Saccharomyces cerevisiae S288C: one gene and its partners. Each later gene encodes a partner of the first gene's protein in a complex. Each region holds a gene or a part of one and is shown in the gene's direction. Other genes may lie near its edges. The genes, in order: SSO1, SEC17, SEC9 and SNC1.

Region 1 (4,207 bases):
AACAGGAAAGCACCATGGCAGCTGCACAACCTGCGAACCCGAAAAAGGGAGCGTACAATGGAGCATATATGTTACTTGCGAGTTGCGTTGACATGTTTACAGAGAATAATAGAATGGACCCTTTCCTCCTCCGACTCTTGCTTTGCTATATTTATTTTTTTTTTTCTTACGAGTAAAGAAGAAAATATTAGGTTATCTATGTTCCTTTTTCTAACTAATCACTCTTTCACTAAAGAATATTTCTTAGCAAAAATATGCGTACCTGCGTACCGGGTAAAAAGTCGCATTGTCCAAGTGCTGCTGCTTTTACGCAAAAGAACACATCTAACCGAAGAGGAATAAGCAGACCTGAACAATACCAAATAAAGAAGTTACTTCTTCTTTATCACCATTTTGACAGGTTTCTACATTTTTTTTTCCGTAGAGGGAAAACATATAAAAGCAGTCCAGTAATTGCTTGCTTTTTGAAATGGCTCTTTAAGCCTGAAAGCACAAGACGATTAGTGATATAGATAATATATACACAGATACACATGTACGTACATAAGTACTGATTTAGGCTGCAACCTTTTACCTGGCTCAACTGACACGAATATTTTGTTATCAGCCAAAATAAACGTTCATGATATATAGTGAGAAAAAAAGATCGATGGGACGACTCGCGGCCATTCCTTGTGCGTGCAGGAATCAAGAAAATAAACAAACCGGTACAGTACAATAAGCAGGCTGAGTAGGCGGAAAAAGTTTTATTCAGACGTGTACCGGAGCCTAAATCCTTTCTTACCCATAGCAACCACACTAAATATATTATTGTAACACGAGAAGATGTCACAAGGTCAGTCCAAAAAACTGGACGTAACTGTTGAGCAGCTTCGAAGTATATACCACCAGTTTCATGATATCTTGGAAGAAAAAACTGATTTGCATCTACCGAAGAAAGAATACGACGATGACGCTGTTAGGAGAGAGGTTCAGATACAGTTACAAGAATTTCTTTTGAGCGCTATGACGATGGCTTCGAAGTCACTAGAAGTTGTCAACGCCGACACGGTAGGAAAGACGGTAAAGCAATTGATCATGGAATCACAAGAGAAGTACATGGAGCCCTTTGACCTTGACCTGAATGAGCAAGTTAGAAAGATGTACCAAGAGTGGGAAGACGAAACCGTTAAGGTGGCCCAGTTGAGGCAAACGGGGCCTGCAAAAATCAACGAAGTTTACAACAACTCAAAGGATGAGTATTTGGCACAATTGGATGGGAGAATCGGCGTTCTTCAAGCTAGAATGATGCAGCAACAATCTGCTGACCATGATGATAGTACCGACGATGCCGATGATCACATCAACTGGGAGCACATCAAGCAGGATTACGTTGCCTCACTCAATGAATTGTATCAAACACAGCAAGACCTACCCAAGGTAAGATATAACGTTGAAAAGGTCAAGCGCTTAATGGACTTCCTGGAGGAGGATTGAATAAATAACATATAAGACAGTCAACCTCGTGGTAAATGATAACTATATTCTGGGGCTTTATTCATTTTTTTACACTTTTTTATCTTTGTACGAAGAGCTGAAAATAAAAAAGTATAGAGCCAGCCTTTTCCCACACACTAACGACAAAAGACGATATGCAGGCTGTGCGCATGGGGGAGAATCCAGTTTTTGCCCGTTAAAGAGAAAAAATTAGTGTCTGTGAAACGCGAATACAAAAAAAGAAAAGTAGCAGGATCTTACTTCTCGTAAAGACGTCAAGAACCAAATCAAGTCAAATCGTGGAAGTTACAAGGGGAAAGACCAATAACTTTTAGTAAAGAACAAAGAAAGGTCTATCTCACGCAGTGACGGTCTTTGCGGTAAATCTGTGTATACTTGAAAGAAAACCCTTTTACAATTAAAAAAGGCAATTAAAAATAGAAACAAATCAAATGAGTTATAATAATCCGTACCAGTTGGAAACCCCTTTTGAAGAGTCATACGAGTTGGACGAAGGTTCGAGCGCTATCGGTGCTGAAGGCCACGATTTCGTGGGCTTCATGAATAAGATCAGTCAAATCAATCGCGATCTCGATAAGTACGACCATACCATCAACCAGGTCGATTCTTTGCATAAGAGGCTACTGACCGAAGTTAATGAGGAGCAAGCAAGTCACTTAAGGCACTCCCTGGACAACTTCGTCGCACAAGCCACGGACTTGCAGTTCAAACTGAAAAATGAGATTAAAAGTGCCCAAAGGGATGGGATACATGACACCAACAAGCAAGCTCAGGCGGAAAACTCCAGACAAAGATTTTTGAAGCTTATCCAGGACTACAGAATTGTGGATTCCAACTACAAGGAGGAGAATAAAGAGCAAGCCAAGAGGCAGTATATGATCATTCAACCAGAGGCCACCGAAGATGAAGTTGAAGCAGCCATAAGCGATGTAGGGGGCCAGCAGATCTTCTCACAAGCATTGTTGAATGCTAACAGACGTGGGGAAGCCAAGACTGCTCTTGCGGAAGTCCAGGCAAGGCACCAAGAGTTATTGAAACTAGAAAAATCCATGGCAGAACTTACTCAATTGTTTAATGACATGGAAGAACTGGTAATAGAACAACAAGAAAACGTAGACGTCATCGACAAGAACGTTGAAGACGCTCAACTCGACGTAGAACAGGGTGTCGGTCATACCGATAAAGCCGTCAAGAGTGCCAGAAAAGCAAGAAAGAACAAGATTAGATGTTGGTTGATTGTATTCGCCATCATTGTAGTCGTTGTTGTTGTCGTTGTTGTCCCAGCCGTTGTCAAAACGCGTTAATTCCAACTATTTTCTATATTTCTATTCTATCCGAACTCCCCTTTTGTATATCAATATATCTTAATACTTTCGCCTATTCTTTACTATATTTCCTAAATTTTCTCTGGTCTGCAGGCCAAAAACAACAACTTACTACTGAATCATGGACGTGTATTTAGTTTAGCCAAGCAATATTTAAATATCACTCTTCCTAAAAATACATTGGGCATTACCCGCAAACTAACCCATCGCTTAGCAAAATCCAACCATTTTTTTTTTATCTCCCGCGTTTTCACATGCTACCTCATTCGCCTCGTAACGTTACGACCGAAATCTCACTAAGGCACGGTTTGTTGGGCAGTTTACAGATGTTGGATAACCAGTTGTTTCTAAACGGTTATGCCTCATATATAACTTGTTAACTGAAGGTTACACAAGACCACATCACCACTGTCGTGCTTTTCTAATAACCGCTATATTAGACGTTTAAAGGGCTACAGCAACACCAATTGAAATACCATCATTATGAAGCCGGAAGTTGAGCAAGAATTAGCTCATATTTTGCTAACTGAATTGTTAGCTTATCAATTTGCCTCTCCTGTGAGATGGATTGAAACTCAAGATGTTTTTTTGAAGGATTTTAACACTGAAAGGGTTGTTGAAATCGGTCCTTCTCCAACTTTGGCTGGGATGGCTCAAAGAACCTTGAAGAATAAATACGAATCTTACGATGCTGCTCTGTCTTTACATAGAGAAATCTTATGCTATTCGAAGGATGCCAAAGAGATTTATTATACCCCAGATCCATCCGAACTAGCTGCAAAGGAAGAGCCCGCTAAGGAAGAAGCTCCTGCTCCAACTCCAGCTGCTAGTGCTCCTGCTCCTGCAGCAGCAGCCCCAGCTCCCGTCGCGGCAGCAGCCCCAGCTGCAGCAGCTGCTGAGATTGCCGATGAACCTGTCAAGGCTTCCCTATTGTTGCACGTTTTGGTTGCTCACAAGTTGAAGAAGTCGTTAGATTCCATTCCAATGTCCAAGACAATCAAAGACTTGGTCGGTGGTAAATCTACAGTCCAAAATGAAATTTTGGGTGATTTAGGTAAAGAATTTGGTACTACTCCTGAAAAACCAGAAGAAACTCCATTAGAAGAATTGGCAGAAACTTTCCAAGATACCTTCTCTGGAGCATTGGGTAAGCAATCTTCCTCGTTATTATCAAGATTAATCTCATCTAAGATGCCTGGTGGGTTTACTATTACTGTCGCTAGAAAATACTTACAAACTCGCTGGGGACTACCATCTGGTAGACAAGATGGTGTCCTTTTGGTAGCTTTATCTAACGAGCCTGCTGCTCGTCTAGGTTCTGAAGCTGATGCCAAGGCTTTCTTGGACTCCATGGCTCAAAAATACGCTTCCATTGTTGGTGTTGA
Region 2 (4,226 bases), on another chromosome or scaffold:
CTTGATTACATTGCGTTACTTAAAGTAGCCTCATCATTCATTCATTATCATCGTTTCATCGACATTAGGTGACGTTTCTCAGTAAAAATTAACTTCATCATGATCATTAATTTCATATTCATATTCGGTTATTTTTTTTTTTTTTTATATTTTTTTTCAATGGTGTTTTTGATGGTTTTTATTATATATATATATTTTTTTATCTTTTATCTTGTGTAAGCACCCCTCATTACTTGTATCGTGCGATATACAAATACCAAACAAACTCTATAATCATAGAATAATGGAAGTATATATTACCATAGATTCTTCTTGTTTTGGTTTTGTAAATCCAGTCCGCTTAAAGAACGATTCAAGCCCTGTTCCAAGCCATCATCTAGTCCAGAGTGACTCAAAGATTTATAGATCAAGTCGGCACTATTCAAATTGTGTGCGGACAACATGGACTCATCGTGATAAGACTGATATGAGAAATTAGAATGTACTGAGCCATTTGTGTGCTGTGGAAGCAGTTGGGACTGTGAGTTTGCTGAAGATGGGCCGTTAAGGTTGTACAACTGCTGGGAAGACAATGAAGCATTTTGGTATGCCACTGGTACCCGTTGTTGAGTTTGGGACTGTGCTGGTGGTTGCGCTTGGGATAGGGTTTGGCTGTTGATTGGGATTTGTGAATTTGGAGGTGAAATTTGAGAATTTCTCAGTAAGGGATTAACGGAATTGATTTGATAATGGTTGGCAGAATAACCGGATGGAATTCTTGAGGATGGTGTTAAAGTAGCTTGTTGTCTTAAAAAAGATTGTTGTTGTTGCGCAGCTGACTGAACATTTTGCTGTGTTTGTGGTTGAGGTTGTTGCGGTTGGTCTGCGGAATTGTATTGAGAACTATGGTGTATGTTCATTTTAGGTGAGGTTAGTGTTGGTTGCATGGAGAATTGTCCCTGTGAAGAAATTTTTGGTGTTGAGCTGGCGCTATTGTTATTAATGATGACATTGTTACCGTTACCGTTATTACTGTTAATAGTATTGCTGTTGGAAGAATTGTTAACGGCCTGATTGCTAATACTATTCGCTGCAGCTGCTGCATGGGCCTGTAACAAACTTGTATAAGATTGTGACCTATTCATGGAGCCGCCAGTGGAGTTTGGCTGCAAAGGATGAGCAGATGTCATTTGACCTTGTTGTTGCAAATGAGATTGTAAATTAGCATGATCCAGAATCTTTCTTCTGATAATAATAAATCTTGGATCATATACTTCTACTAGCCCTAAGTACGAGCACAAAACATTGATAATTCTCTTGTGGGAAGCGGATATACCCATGGGATAAGCCAACTCGTAATAATACTTTTCTCTATCCTTAAATAACAATAATTGGGAATAAATTTCCAAAGTGTCAGGGTCATTGAAGTCCAGTTGTTGGGGTGGGAGAGGCAAAGTGGAAGTTGATGGTAAAGGCGCATAAAATCTCTCAGTGGACATCTGGGCTTGATTATTAACGTTTGTTTGGTACAACGATGAAGAAGTATGTTGGGCAGAAAGTGAAGGTTGGTTCAGAATGATGTTACCACTATTGTTGTTATTAGAACTGTTATTGTTAATGGTATTATTCATTGGACTGTTCATCATGCTATTAGCATTAATGCCGTTCATTAGAGTCGAGAATAATTGATTGTTAGAAGTATTATTGTTTCCGCTTCCACTCATTTTAGATAAAGAATCCAAAGAAAGATTAGATGACGATCTGTGTTGTTCTTCTAATTGTCCTCTTTTCTCTCTCTTCTCCCTCTCGATTCTTTCTCTTTCAGCTTGGGGAAGCATTTTTTTATATTCCACTTTCAATTTCCTCCCGCTGATTTCCTTTCCATTCAAAGAAGTTATCACTTGAGTAGTTTCTTCAGGAGTGGTGAAATTCGCAAAGGCTAGTCCTCTGAAAATACCGTTATCAAAGTGGTAATTGAAGGCATAAGGAAGGGGAAGATCCATTTCTTCAATAATGTCTAACAATTGCTCTTTTTTAATAGCAAACGGAATGTTTTTAATAACAATAGCATTTGGGATAACATCATCGTCCAAAGCACCATTGGTGGGGGCATTATTCAAATTTGTAGAAGAAACGTTTTGTTCGGCATTTTTTGCAGAGTTCTCACCAGTTTCCGTTTGCACACCGTTTTCTTTGTCAATTGCATCTCTAGTTTCGATAGATTGCTGATTTGTTTCCTGGTCATTAGTCTCCGTATTTATATTATTATCCTGAGCATCATTGATGGCTGCAGGAGGAGCATTCTCAAAAGAACTGGTCTCCATTTCTTATTGTTGTTGAACACGCTTTCCCTAGTCTGTAGCCTGCCTCTATGAGTACTATATCACACTTCTTCTTGCGCTAATCTCCAAAGACCTGCTGGTAATCTCAGCTGAAAGGCTGCCTTTAATTGTTATTCTTTTCCAGGAAAAAATCGCAAAGTTGCAGCATCCGTGTTTCGTGACATCATTGAAGGTTACCCTAATCTATTACCTCGGATTAACTTGAATTAATAAGGACACACAGGTATAGGGAAGGTAAAGTTGAAGTAATGATAAGAAGTGGGCAGCACCGAAGCAGTTTATCTGAACTAACTTCTGTACGACTCGAGAATATAGTAAGAACACCATCATTAACCTGAAAGTTAAAAATGTCAGACCCTGTAGAGTTATTGAAAAGAGTATGTAGTAGGGAAATATATCAAAGGAACAAAATGAAAGCTATGTGATTCCGTAATTTACGAAGGCAAATTACTAACATTGAAATACGGGAATTGATATTTCCCGTTGTGTTAAGGCTGAGAAGAAGGGTGTTCCTTCATCGGGTTTCATGAAATTGTTTAGCGGTTCTGATTCATACAAGTTTGAGGAGGCTGCTGATCTTTGTGTCCAAGCAGCCACCATTTACCGTCTAAGAAAAGAGTTAAACTTGGCAGGAGACTCGTTTTTGAAAGCTGCTGACTATCAGAAAAAGGCTGGTAATGAAGACGAAGCAGGAAATACCTACGTAGAGGCTTATAAATGCTTTAAAAGCGGTGGAAACTCTGTGAACGCCGTGGATTCATTAGAAAATGCTATTCAAATTTTTACTCATAGGGGGCAGTTCCGGAGAGGTGCTAATTTCAAGTTTGAGCTTGGAGAAATTCTAGAAAATGATTTGCATGACTATGCAAAAGCTATAGATTGCTATGAGCTCGCTGGTGAGTGGTATGCCCAAGACCAGTCGGTAGCATTATCGAATAAGTGTTTTATCAAATGCGCAGATCTAAAGGCTCTTGACGGTCAATATATTGAAGCAAGTGATATATATTCGAAGTTGATCAAGAGCAGCATGGGCAATAGATTGAGCCAATGGAGTTTGAAGGATTACTTCCTAAAAAAAGGGCTTTGTCAGCTAGCTGCTACTGATGCAGTCGCTGCTGCAAGAACTTTACAAGAGGGTCAAAGTGAAGATCCGAATTTTGCGGATTCAAGGGAGTCAAATTTCTTGAAAAGTTTAATCGATGCTGTTAATGAAGGTGATAGCGAGCAGCTAAGCGAACACTGTAAGGAGTTTGACAATTTTATGAGACTAGATAAATGGAAAATTACCATTTTGAATAAAATTAAGGAGTCCATCCAGCAACAAGAAGATGATTTGTTATGAACGGCATATACTTACGCGCACATACATATATACATATATATTATAAATGTAACACTTGTTTTACCCGAAACGGCGAAGTAATTGTGTACCGCCGTGCACCTTTTCCTCGAGATAAACATATAGCGATGACTTAGAGAACAAAGTAGTATTAGTATCATATACTTCCAACGTTAATCAAGCGCAATAAACCTTTGTTCGTGTGTTTCAAAGTTATTGCAAGAGCGAAGTTGAAGCCATCTTTTCACGAGAAGTTAGCTGTGGTTCGAGTCTGTCGCACGCCGTGTAATGTAAGGATCTTCCCTTAGCTTTTCTGATCCGGAGCCCTTGAGGGATATTACGCATCGCGTATCTTCATACGATTACTGTACTTTGCTGACTTGCATTCTTGATATTGGGCTATAGTTGGCACTTCGCTCGTTTCTTTTCTTTCGTTATATAACGTAACCTTTTTTTTTTTAACTTCCTTATCCTGCCCCTTATCACTCTGAACCCCATAGATAAACAAAGACAGAACTCTGTCCTACTTTATCTATTACTAAACTCAACACATTACAGCCCAATAT
Region 3 (5,325 bases), on another chromosome or scaffold:
TTTACGTATACGATTCACTGGAATGTTTGTCTGAAAGGTTTTCCTTATGAAACTTACCGCTGGTGTGGTTATATTATAATTATTAAGTGTTAAAATAAATGTTTGACATTGTTCACATGATTGTTGCTCTGCTGTAAACATTTTAAATCGTGCATCCAGGAACTTTTTTTCTATGCACCTTGAAGAGGAAAGTGGTAAATTTGAACTGCTGCAGTATCAGAGTTGTAATAAACTCACTCTTTGCTATCCAAGACCTGCTTGACCGGTTCACTTTGATTAATGTATAGATTATACTCTTGGATGTAACGGATGACAGAGTTTGGAAGAAGATATTGAACTGACATTCCACGTCTGATGAAAAGCCGCACTTTCGTAGAGGAAATATCATTGTAAATAAGTTGTTTGATAATAAGGATATTTCTTCTGTGTTCATACATGATATCATGGGAAAGCAAGAAGGACCTAACATCAGAACCAGTCCTTTCCACGATCAAACATCCATAATTACCCAAAATATGGTGCAGGTCTGAATCAGCCCACACATGAGGCTCGCCCATGGATTCGATAAGATCACCGCCTGCCAATAACATGATTTTTACGCCCATTTTTTCACCATCTACAGTCATGATTCCACCTCTCTTGATATTTATTTCATGATTGAAATGGTCCAAGACTTTTGCTGTCCTTGTATAACTTGATTGTAAAGATTCCCAGGCATCAACCATTAACCAAGATGATGTCCGCTCGCATGCTAATTCGCACATGCGGACACGATGATAAGCTGGGGCTAACCCTCGCTTTTGATAGTTATCACTTACTGGAGAAAAATAACCACCAACCACTTCAAAACGCGTTTGCTCATTGATATCATCTAAAGCCATTTCAAACATTCTCAAATGTAGGTATGTTATGGGAGAAAATGATCCACAAGCAACGATGATCAGAGGCAGTTTTTCAGGATCTTGTAACTTTTTCGTCAATCTGTGTACAGGAAATTCGTAATCTTCAATAGTTCTGGCTTGTCTTACAATTGTGTGAGGAACTTCTTCCAAATCAGCAATTTGGCTCTTCAGTACCCCCAAATTCCCAGTCATCGTAACATCCTGTAGAGTAGCGTCAATTCCATTCGATTGCCCTTCACTTTCCTCCTCCGATGATACATCCCGAGATAGTGGCTGGAAGTCACTAGTATTTAATGGAATATGGTCCATTCGGTTGCTTGAGTTGGCGTTTTTTTTCCTTGACGACAGGGTTTTGTAAATGTCGAGATTGAAAGGAGCATCGATCGAAGAATTATAATCAGCTAAAACATATGGAACTATGGGTCCAGATTTTGGTATCGTATGTGTTGGATCTGGCGGTGGTTGTAGTTCTTCATTTGGCTGTGGCGGTTTAAAATCGGGTGCTTTGGTGGGATCCATTACGTAATAAGTGCACTTTTTCTTGCCTTCTCCACTTTAAACTCTCTCTCTCTCTCTACTTAACAGTGGAGGAACAGTGACTAAGGTAGAGTATGATTGTACTATAACTTACAGTCTACTGTCGTCACGCTGGGTCAATTTACATTGTTATTTTTCTTGGAGACGACACCGTCACATATGGACAGCGAGTATGGTAGATGGTATAAGCAAAAAATGGCCAGAAACAGGCGATTATTTGGTAAAACGTAAAGATTGATCAAGACGATAAGTTTGAGAGATTGTGAAGCTAAATAAAATCGTATTGCGAGTATTTTACATTCCATATACGAATAGTACGATATCCATGTGGGGTGCGACTCAGAGACTTTCTATTACCCGTCTTTCAAAAAGAAATGAGATACGTTGATCCTGCTTTTAACAATTTCGAATCGTTTGCGTAATTATATGACTTGCTCCGGTGTATAAATAAATAAAGTACATTCTTGGTACTCCTGAACCTAGCCTGGAGTAACTCGGAATAATACACCATTGACACCAAAAGAATGGGATTAAAGAAATTTTTTAAGATTAAGCCTCCAGAGGAAGCGACACCAGAACAGAACAAGGATACTTTGATGGAACTGGGTATTAGTGTCAAAAACCCTAGCAAGAAAAGAAAAGAGAAATTTGCCGCCTACGGTAAATTTGCAAATGATAAAGCTGAAGATAAGGTATACGCGCCACCAGGTTATGAGCAGTATGCTAGGCCACAGGATGAACTTGAGGATTTGAATGCTTCTCCCTTAGATGCCAATGCTAACGAGGCAACTGCTGGTTCTAATAGAGGTTCAAGTGGCACGCAAGATCTCGGAAATGGAGCAGAATCCAATTCTATGCAAGATCCGTACGCTATCGAAAATGATGATTACCGATATGATGACGATCCTTATGCAAGGTTTCAAGCTAATAAAAGTAATGGGAGAGGTAGCGTCAATGCTGCGCCTTATGGTGATTATGGAGGGGGGTACAATGGCACATCTCTGAATTCATATAATAACGATGGCCCGTATAGTAACCAAAATACTTCAAACAGCTGGGTGAATGCGAATGGCCGTAATAGTTTAAATCATTCAAACAGCACTTTAAACGTAGGGCCTTCGAGGCAAACAAGGCAACCGCCGGTTTCAACGTCGACCAACAGCTTATCGCTTGACCAAAGAAGTCCCTTAGCAAACCCGATGCAAGAAAAGAGAAATCCTTACGCTGATATGAATAGTTATGGCGGGGCGTATGACTCCAATACTAATAGATCTAGCGGTACTCGACAAGGAAGCTCCAAGAATGCAAATCCATACGCCTCTATGGCGAACGACTCATATAGTAATGGAAATTTGAACAGGTCTGCAAATCCATATTCTAGTAGAAGTGTGCGTCAACCGCAATCGCAACAAGCTCCAATGACTTATACGCCCTCTTTTATTGCTTCTGATGAAGCAGCACGCAATAGTGAAGTTGATTTAAATGAAGAACCTAGAACAGGTGAATTTGATTTTGAAGAAGTTTATGCTGACAAGTCTGCAGAAAATAGAGCGGCATTAGATGAGCCTGATTTGAATGCAGTAATGACGAATGAAGATTCAATAGATTTAAATGCGTCCGAAGTTGATCATAGTTCAAGACAGCAGCAGCAGCAACAGTGGTTCATGGATGAGCAGCAACAGCAACAGCAACACTTTAACGCAACAAATAACCAATATGGAGATCAAAGGGGTTACAAAACATTTGAAGAAATACAAAAAGAAGAGGAGGCTCGCCAGCAGCAGGAAGAAGATGAAGCAGTAGATGAAATCAAGCAGGAGATCAAATTTACGAAACAGAGTTCCGTAGCCTCTACTAGAAATACACTAAAAATGGCTCAAGACGCCGAAAGAGCAGGTATGAACACATTGGGTATGCTGGGTCATCAAAGTGAACAATTGAATAACGTAGAAGGAAACTTAGATTTAATGAAGGTGCAAAATAAAGTTGCAGATGAAAAAGTTGCAGAACTAAAAAAATTGAACCGTAGTATATTGGCTGTCCATGTTTCTAATCCGTTTAATTCCAAGAGAAGGAGAAGGGAGAGGGAAGAGCAGCTGAAGAATAGGAAAATTGAAGAAAAATTAATGAGAGAGCAAACAAGTCAACAATTGTCTCAGTCCACTCAAAGAATAGAGGGTGCTATGAACGCAAATAATAACATAAGTGAGGTGCGGGAAAGATATCAGAGGAAGAATGTTCTAGAAAAGGCAAAGAGATATCAGTTTGAGAATGATGAAGAAGATGACGAAATGGAATTGGAAATTGATAGGAATTTGGACCAGATTCAGCAGGTTAGCAACAGATTGAAGAAAATGGCCTTGACCACTGGTAAAGAATTAGACTCTCAGCAAAAACGTCTCAACAACATTGAGGAAAGCACTGATGATCTAGATATCAATCTCCATATGAATACCAACAGGTTGGCAGGTATCAGATAGAATATGCCTGTAAAAACTATGTAATATATCACAAGTAACAACATTTCATCACCATTACTACCATTATGTAGAAATTTATGAGCAAAGACAAATAAGTAAAGAAAAAGACATTGATATAATATAAGAGTATGCTTTCTTCATTTTAATGTTTGGTTGTGAATTGAAAGAATACCATTCGGGCACGCAATAGTTATGAACTTAACCGAGCTCAAATAATTTAAAGATAAAAGATAAAAGATAAAAGATAAAAGACAAAAGAAAATTCATAGCCCATGTTGAAGTATCCCAGCGGGAAATGTTGCTATCCAACAGAAAGTACCAAGCCAGTTTCAAAAAGGTACAGAATTAAGTGATGCTATCCGTCCCACAACTAATTTTCTCCAGCGGAGGAAATATACGCGGAGGGGGGGAGGAAAACCTCTCAGTAAGCAATGAAGGGATAGATAATGGGGGCGCGCCTGCCTAGCTTAGGCTAAGAAACTCCTTCGAAAACAGGGGGCTGCGAGCGCAGAAGCGAACACTTGTCATTTGTATAAAAGGACTATTTATAAGTTTGCTTTTTGTCACTCTCTTGGCCCTAATTACCCATACTATTGTAACAATTGTTGTGTAAACTCAATTATACAAATAAACGAACAATCAACAGTAACAAACCGCTCAAGTGTACAACCAATCAGAAAAAATGACGAGAACAAACAAGTGGACCGAACGTGAAGGAAAGGCTGATCCAAAGTACTTTTCGCACACTGGTAACTACGGTGAATCTCCAAATCACATCAAGAAGCAAGGTTCCGGCAAGGGTAATTGGGGTAAGCCAGGCGATGAGATTGATGACTTAATTGATAATGGTGAAATACCCCCAGTGTTCAAGAAAGATAGAAGAGGCTCAAATTTGCAATCGCATGAACAAAAGTTTGAAAACGTCCAAAAGGAATGAGGGCGTTTTCAAGATAAAAAAAGGTTTTTTGATCTCTGAAGGATAGTGGCCTTCTCCACTGATTTATATGCATCTATAGGTATATACTTGCATGCCTACTTCATGACTTATGTAATACAGTTTTCTTACATCCATTTAATTTACGTTCGAAGAAGTTTTCAACATTTGTTTATATGGACATTCCCTTTTTTTGGTTCCTCGCAATGTAAACCTCCCTTTGCGATTCCACCCTCTTCACAATAAGCTCTTTAGTCAAGTATTCACTGAATTTTCCGGCAGCAGTGAGGACAGCCGTGCCAATATGATACTTCTCGCAGTTATACTGAGACATTGAGGTGGCGTCAGCATCGATAATAACGGCATCAACATATTTACAACTTAAAACGCTCAAGACGCGTTCCTTCATCGTCATAATGGTACTCGAGTAATCGCTTGTGGTAATACCAACAATCAATTTCTTATCGGGGTG
Region 4 (3,513 bases), on another chromosome or scaffold:
CAAATCTCACCCTTTTGATGGACAATTCACTGGAGTTTGACTCCGGATCTAGAGTTAATGTCTCTATAGCCAAAGTATCACTACTATTGGCAATCAGGGTACTTGATGATTTTCCTGAGGAGGTGTTGTTTATACTGGATACTTTTGGTGAAGGCGCTAACGATGAAGATGCAGAAGGATTGGGTGTAGATGCACTTTTGTTCATCAAATGCCGCACTGTATCTTGGACGATTTTTTGATTTAACGTCATGGTTGAGGACTGCAAAGAATTGGACCTTTGATTGTTGAGCTTTGAAGGTGGAGCTATTGACGGATGTCTTGTAGAATTCAAATATGAGGTTTGTTGTTTGTTTGTATAGGATTGCAAAGATGAGGATCTAGGCCTTCTGCCGTTGATCAGTTTTCTTTTCTCCGGAGACACCACGCTTTTCTTCGTTTCTGCGTTTTTATTGTTGAAAGTGGTCCTTACAGGCGATACTGAGGGAGACCTAGAAGAATTTGAGGCTAAATGCGCCCTTGCCCTTGTTCTTATGCTCTCTAAAGAGGCCTGTCTTGATGGGCTTGCTGAAGATGTGGGTGAGGGGGATGGAGAAGAAGAGGCTGGCAGCTTTGTTATTGACGGCTTCTTCTTTAGCTTACTTTTCGCGTTTTTAACCTCTAAATACAGAGCCTTATCTCTTTCTAGCTTTTCTTTCAAATTCTCCCGCAAGTCATTGGTTTCATCGAAGGTTTTATAATTTTTCTCAATATATTTCCAGCAATCCATCCAATTGGATAATAATCCCATAATGGACCTCAATTTCGGTATAATCTTGCAGATATGATTATTAAACAATTCCACAACTAAACCAGGTTGAAGGTGGAAAATGGGAGTTCTTGAGGAATTGTTATCGGTACGCGCCGTTTGAGTCCAAAATTTTAAATTCTCCTGCAGTTCGAATAAAGCTGTGACATCATCACATTCTGGAGAGAGCAAAGCCATCAGCTCACAAATTATCAAATCGTAATGGTACACGTTTTCGCTGGATAATCTTGTCTTGATGTCCAAGAAATGTTGTTTATTCGGTAGGAAAATTTGCCTAGAGAAACTGATAATAACACACAAGACAGAAAAAACCCGCAAGTGGAAAGTGTATATCCTGTGTAGAGTCCATTCCCAATGTGGTAGATCCTTCTGTAAATTTGACAGTGAAGTAGGTCTTGTTTCCGAAAATTTCTGCAATTGGTTGTAATATGTCCTTAGAATGGGGAAGATTTTCGAATGAACACAGGAGTTCAGTTTCTCCATCACTTGCCATTGCAATTTGTAAAAGGAATGGGTGGACTTATCCCTTACTGGATCATTAATCAAAACGGCTAAATCTAGAATCAATGTCATTTCAACTGGATTTAACAAGTCTTCAATTATTGAAGTGTCAAATGGAAGTGACCGAGCTTTGTACGCATCCCTTTCCAATAAAATCTGTCTCAACTTGGCATTATAAATTTTTATAGCATTTTGAGCAATGCAAGACAGCGAATTTAAAATCTTCCATTGTAGAGAATTATTGTATATGCACGATTTATAGTGATCTAGGGGTACCTCCTCGGGAAACATCCAGCCCTCTACATCAATAAAATTAGTTGATAATCTCTGCTGCACTTCGCTTAGCTTTATCAGCTGGAATCGACAGAGCAAATGGTACCTCTTAGCCAATACGGGGCTTACATTAAATATAGGACCCTCACAAAGTGATAAGATGAAATTAACGAGGGGAATAATTTTGTAGGACTCGTCATTGTCTCTTTTCTTCTTCAAATGCGGTACCAGAACGTTTAGTAGCCTATTCAGTTCATTCAGCTTGTAAAGAGCGTTCTTATATTGAATGATTTTTATATCATACGAGTCCAACGGAACAGAACCTTTGATTGCCGGAATAGAAGCGCTGGCAGCAGCTTTGGCTAGCAACTTTTTTCTCTTTTGCACATCTACCATGTTGTAATATAAAACTAGTCTAAATCCTCAACCTTCAGCTTCCAATCACTCCTTTTATCATTGTTCATTCGCTAACAAACTTCAAACATATGCCTTTATTATGCGTCTTCCTGCTGTTTCAACCATTGATTGCAGGGTAACAGACATTTTTAAGGGTCTTTCCCACAGCATCTATAAGAAAGATCGTCAAAAGTATTAGTTAAACATTGAAAATTTGCGCCAAAGACATAGCAAGCGCAACGTATTCATTGTCCATGTCGTCATCTACTCCCTTTGACCCTTATGCTCTATCCGAGCACGATGAAGAACGACCCCAGAATGTACAGTCTAAGTCAAGGACTGCGGAACTACAAGCTGTAAGTACAGAAAGCCACAGAGTACCATCTAGGAAATTAACATTATACTAACTTTCTACATCGTTGATACTTATGCGTATACATTCATATACGTTCTTCGTGTTTATTTTTAGGAAATTGATGATACCGTGGGAATAATGAGAGATAACATAAATAAAGTAGCAGAAAGAGGTGAAAGATTAACGTCCATTGAAGATAAAGCCGATAACCTAGCGGTCTCAGCCCAAGGCTTTAAGAGGGGTGCCAATAGGGTCAGAAAAGCCATGTGGTACAAGGATCTAAAAATGAAGATGTGTCTGGCTTTAGTAATCATCATATTGCTTGTTGTAATCATCGTCCCCATTGCTGTTCACTTTAGTCGATAGAAGTTCACTCGCAATGCTATATATATAGGGAGCTTCCATATGTAGTGTAGGATATATGTATATATACATATATACATATATGGGCGTATATTTACTTTGTTCTTATTTTCTGTCTAATTTTATAATTTTACTGACAGTAGCTAAGCCCTCTGTATTGCTGTTCTGTGTTATTGCACTAGTGTCATAACGCAGATGGTTTTTAGCAGAGTCAAATTGGGCAGAAAGCATAATTTCCATCTTCCCTGGCAAAGACAGATTTTCTCTTTTGATCACGTTAGCTAAATAATTCAAGATTTCGTTCGGTACTCCAGCTTCGCCCTTGTTAGCAGGCTTGTATTTCAACAGAATTGCTTGTATTTGGGCTGGATTCAAGGCATACCAGAAATCGAATAGTAACTTGAACTCGTTCAAGTTGCTTATCTTCAACTGTAATATCTTGACAGCCTGAATTATTTGAATCAAATTGGGACGAACGTCTTCAATTCTTGGTTCAAACCAGCTCACCAACCGCTCGATATTTCTATCCACTTCGTACCCATACTTCCAATTTAACGCGGGACATTTGGTTATTAGGTCATTAAATAGCATTACGTTCAGATACTTCAGGGTGTCGTTAAAAATTTTTGTATGCATTGAGTCAACAACTTGAAATTTACACAAGACAGCATCAAATTCATTTAAGAATGTGAATAATTTAGCGAACTTCTCATCACCAGAATTTTTAAATAGCTTCTCGTTTAAAACCATATCGAAGATCTCGATGTGGGCTGAAGCATGCTTCATGAATTTCACTAACCAAGTGGAATAAATCTTGTCG

The links.
Region 2: the proteins of SSO1 (region 1) and SEC17 are in contact, whole or in part, in a cryo-EM structure (PDB 9CRU), measured with the Saccharomyces cerevisiae proteins. Residues at the interface, in NP_015092.1 of Saccharomyces cerevisiae: Leu201 (codon at 2,529), Glu204 (codon at 2,538), Lys205 (codon at 2,541), Ala208 (codon at 2,550), Thr211 (codon at 2,559), Asn215 (codon at 2,571), Glu218 (codon at 2,580), Glu219 (codon at 2,583), Ile222 (codon at 2,592), Glu223 (codon at 2,595), Glu226 (codon at 2,604), Val230 (codon at 2,616), Asn234 (codon at 2,628); in NP_009503.1 of Saccharomyces cerevisiae: Arg114 (codon at 3,124), Ser153 (codon at 3,241), Ala155 (codon at 3,247), Leu156 (codon at 3,250), Lys159 (codon at 3,259), Leu193 (codon at 3,361), Trp196 (codon at 3,370), Ser197 (codon at 3,373), Arg236 (codon at 3,490), Asn265 (codon at 3,577), Phe266 (codon at 3,580), Met267 (codon at 3,583).
Region 3: the proteins of SSO1 (region 1) and SEC9 are in contact, whole or in part, in a cryo-EM structure (PDB 9CRU), measured with the Saccharomyces cerevisiae proteins. Residues at the interface, in NP_015092.1 of Saccharomyces cerevisiae: Glu185 (codon at 2,481), Ala186 (codon at 2,484), Ala189 (codon at 2,493), Leu190 (codon at 2,496), Val193 (codon at 2,505), Gln194 (codon at 2,508), Arg196 (codon at 2,514), His197 (codon at 2,517), Leu200 (codon at 2,526), Leu201 (codon at 2,529), Glu204 (codon at 2,538), Met207 (codon at 2,547), Ala208 (codon at 2,550), Leu210 (codon at 2,556), Thr211 (codon at 2,559), Phe214 (codon at 2,568), Asn215 (codon at 2,571), Met217 (codon at 2,577), Glu218 (codon at 2,580), Val221 (codon at 2,589), Gln224 (codon at 2,598), Gln225 (codon at 2,601), Val228 (codon at 2,610), Asp229 (codon at 2,613), Ile231 (codon at 2,619), Asp232 (codon at 2,622), Val235 (codon at 2,631), Glu236 (codon at 2,634), Ala238 (codon at 2,640), Gln239 (codon at 2,643); in NP_011523.3 of Saccharomyces cerevisiae: Ile433 (codon at 3,260), Thr436 (codon at 3,269), Lys437 (codon at 3,272), Ser439 (codon at 3,278), Ser440 (codon at 3,281), Ala442 (codon at 3,287), Ser443 (codon at 3,290), Thr444 (codon at 3,293), Asn446 (codon at 3,299), Thr447 (codon at 3,302), Met450 (codon at 3,311), Ala451 (codon at 3,314), Ala454 (codon at 3,323), Ala457 (codon at 3,332), Gly458 (codon at 3,335), Asn460 (codon at 3,341), Thr461 (codon at 3,344), Met464 (codon at 3,353), Leu465 (codon at 3,356), His467 (codon at 3,362), Gln468 (codon at 3,365), Gln471 (codon at 3,374), Leu472 (codon at 3,377), Asn474 (codon at 3,383), Val475 (codon at 3,386), Asn478 (codon at 3,395), Leu479 (codon at 3,398), Leu481 (codon at 3,404), Met482 (codon at 3,407), Gln485 (codon at 3,416).
Region 4: the proteins of SSO1 (region 1) and SNC1 are in contact, whole or in part, in a crystal structure (PDB 3B5N), measured with the Saccharomyces cerevisiae proteins. Residues at the interface, in NP_015092.1 of Saccharomyces cerevisiae: Glu199 (codon at 2,523), Leu200 (codon at 2,526), Lys202 (codon at 2,532), Leu203 (codon at 2,535), Ser206 (codon at 2,544), Met207 (codon at 2,547), Glu209 (codon at 2,553), Leu210 (codon at 2,556), Leu213 (codon at 2,565), Phe214 (codon at 2,568), Asp216 (codon at 2,574), Met217 (codon at 2,577), Leu220 (codon at 2,586), Val221 (codon at 2,589), Gln224 (codon at 2,598), Asn227 (codon at 2,607), Val228 (codon at 2,610), Val230 (codon at 2,616), Ile231 (codon at 2,619), Asn234 (codon at 2,628), Val235 (codon at 2,631), Ala238 (codon at 2,640), Asp241 (codon at 2,649), Val242 (codon at 2,652), Gln244 (codon at 2,658), Gly245 (codon at 2,661), Val246 (codon at 2,664), His248 (codon at 2,670), Thr249 (codon at 2,673), Lys251 (codon at 2,679); in NP_009372.1 of Saccharomyces cerevisiae: Thr29 (codon at 2,314), Leu32 (codon at 2,323), Gln33 (codon at 2,326), Ile36 (codon at 2,448), Asp37 (codon at 2,451), Thr39 (codon at 2,457), Val40 (codon at 2,460), Met43 (codon at 2,469), Arg44 (codon at 2,472), Asn46 (codon at 2,478), Ile47 (codon at 2,481), Val50 (codon at 2,490), Arg53 (codon at 2,499), Gly54 (codon at 2,502), Leu57 (codon at 2,511), Thr58 (codon at 2,514), Ile60 (codon at 2,520), Glu61 (codon at 2,523), Ala64 (codon at 2,532), Asp65 (codon at 2,535), Leu67 (codon at 2,541), Ala68 (codon at 2,544), Ala71 (codon at 2,553), Gln72 (codon at 2,556), Phe74 (codon at 2,562), Lys75 (codon at 2,565), Ala78 (codon at 2,574), Asn79 (codon at 2,577), Val81 (codon at 2,583), Arg82 (codon at 2,586).

The regions. Positions count from the first base shown.
Region 1 is NC_001148.4:105,347-109,553, forward strand, and holds SSO1 (syntaxin), read left to right. Parts: upstream 1-1,928; coding exon 1,929-2,801; downstream 2,802-4,207. Other genes in the region: VMA11 (H(+)-transporting V0 sector ATPase subunit c'), read right to left, coding at 1-94; MIND complex subunit NSL1, read left to right, coding at 826-1,476; trifunctional fatty acid synthase subunit FAS2, read left to right, coding at 3,306-4,207. UniProt on the Saccharomyces cerevisiae protein: Required for vesicle fusion with the plasma membrane.
Region 2 is NC_001134.8:122,457-126,682, forward strand, and holds SEC17 (alpha-soluble NSF attachment protein SEC17), read left to right. Parts: upstream 1-2,668; coding exon 2,669-2,698; intron 2,699-2,814; coding exon 2,815-3,663; downstream 3,664-4,226. Other genes in the region: PIN4 (Pin4p), read right to left, coding at 297-2,303. UniProt on the Saccharomyces cerevisiae protein: SNARE complex protein that binds to cis-SNARE complexes on membranes and is required for vesicular transport between the endoplasmic reticulum and the Golgi apparatus and for homotypic vacuole fusion.
Region 3 is NC_001139.9:507,641-512,965, reverse strand, and holds SEC9 (Sec9p), read left to right. Parts: upstream 1-1,963; coding exon 1,964-3,919; downstream 3,920-5,325. Other genes in the region: nicotinamide-nucleotide adenylyltransferase NMA2, read right to left, coding at 234-1,421; STF2 (ATPase-stabilizing factor family protein), read left to right, coding at 4,602-4,856; ECT1 (ethanolamine-phosphate cytidylyltransferase), read right to left, coding at 5,026-5,325. UniProt on the Saccharomyces cerevisiae protein: Component of a SNARE complex that may be the effector of SEC4 function in exocytosis.
Region 4 is NC_001133.9:85,057-88,569, forward strand, and holds SNC1 (SNAP receptor SNC1), read left to right. Parts: upstream 1-2,229; coding exon 2,230-2,331; intron 2,332-2,444; coding exon 2,445-2,696; downstream 2,697-3,513. Other genes in the region: protein phosphatase regulator GIP4, read right to left, coding at 1-1,975; MYO4 (myosin 4), read right to left, coding at 2,799-3,513. UniProt on the Saccharomyces cerevisiae protein: SNC1 and SNC2 are vesicle-targeting proteins essential for normal secretory traffic between the Golgi and the plasma membrane. They may also be involved in vesicle fusion.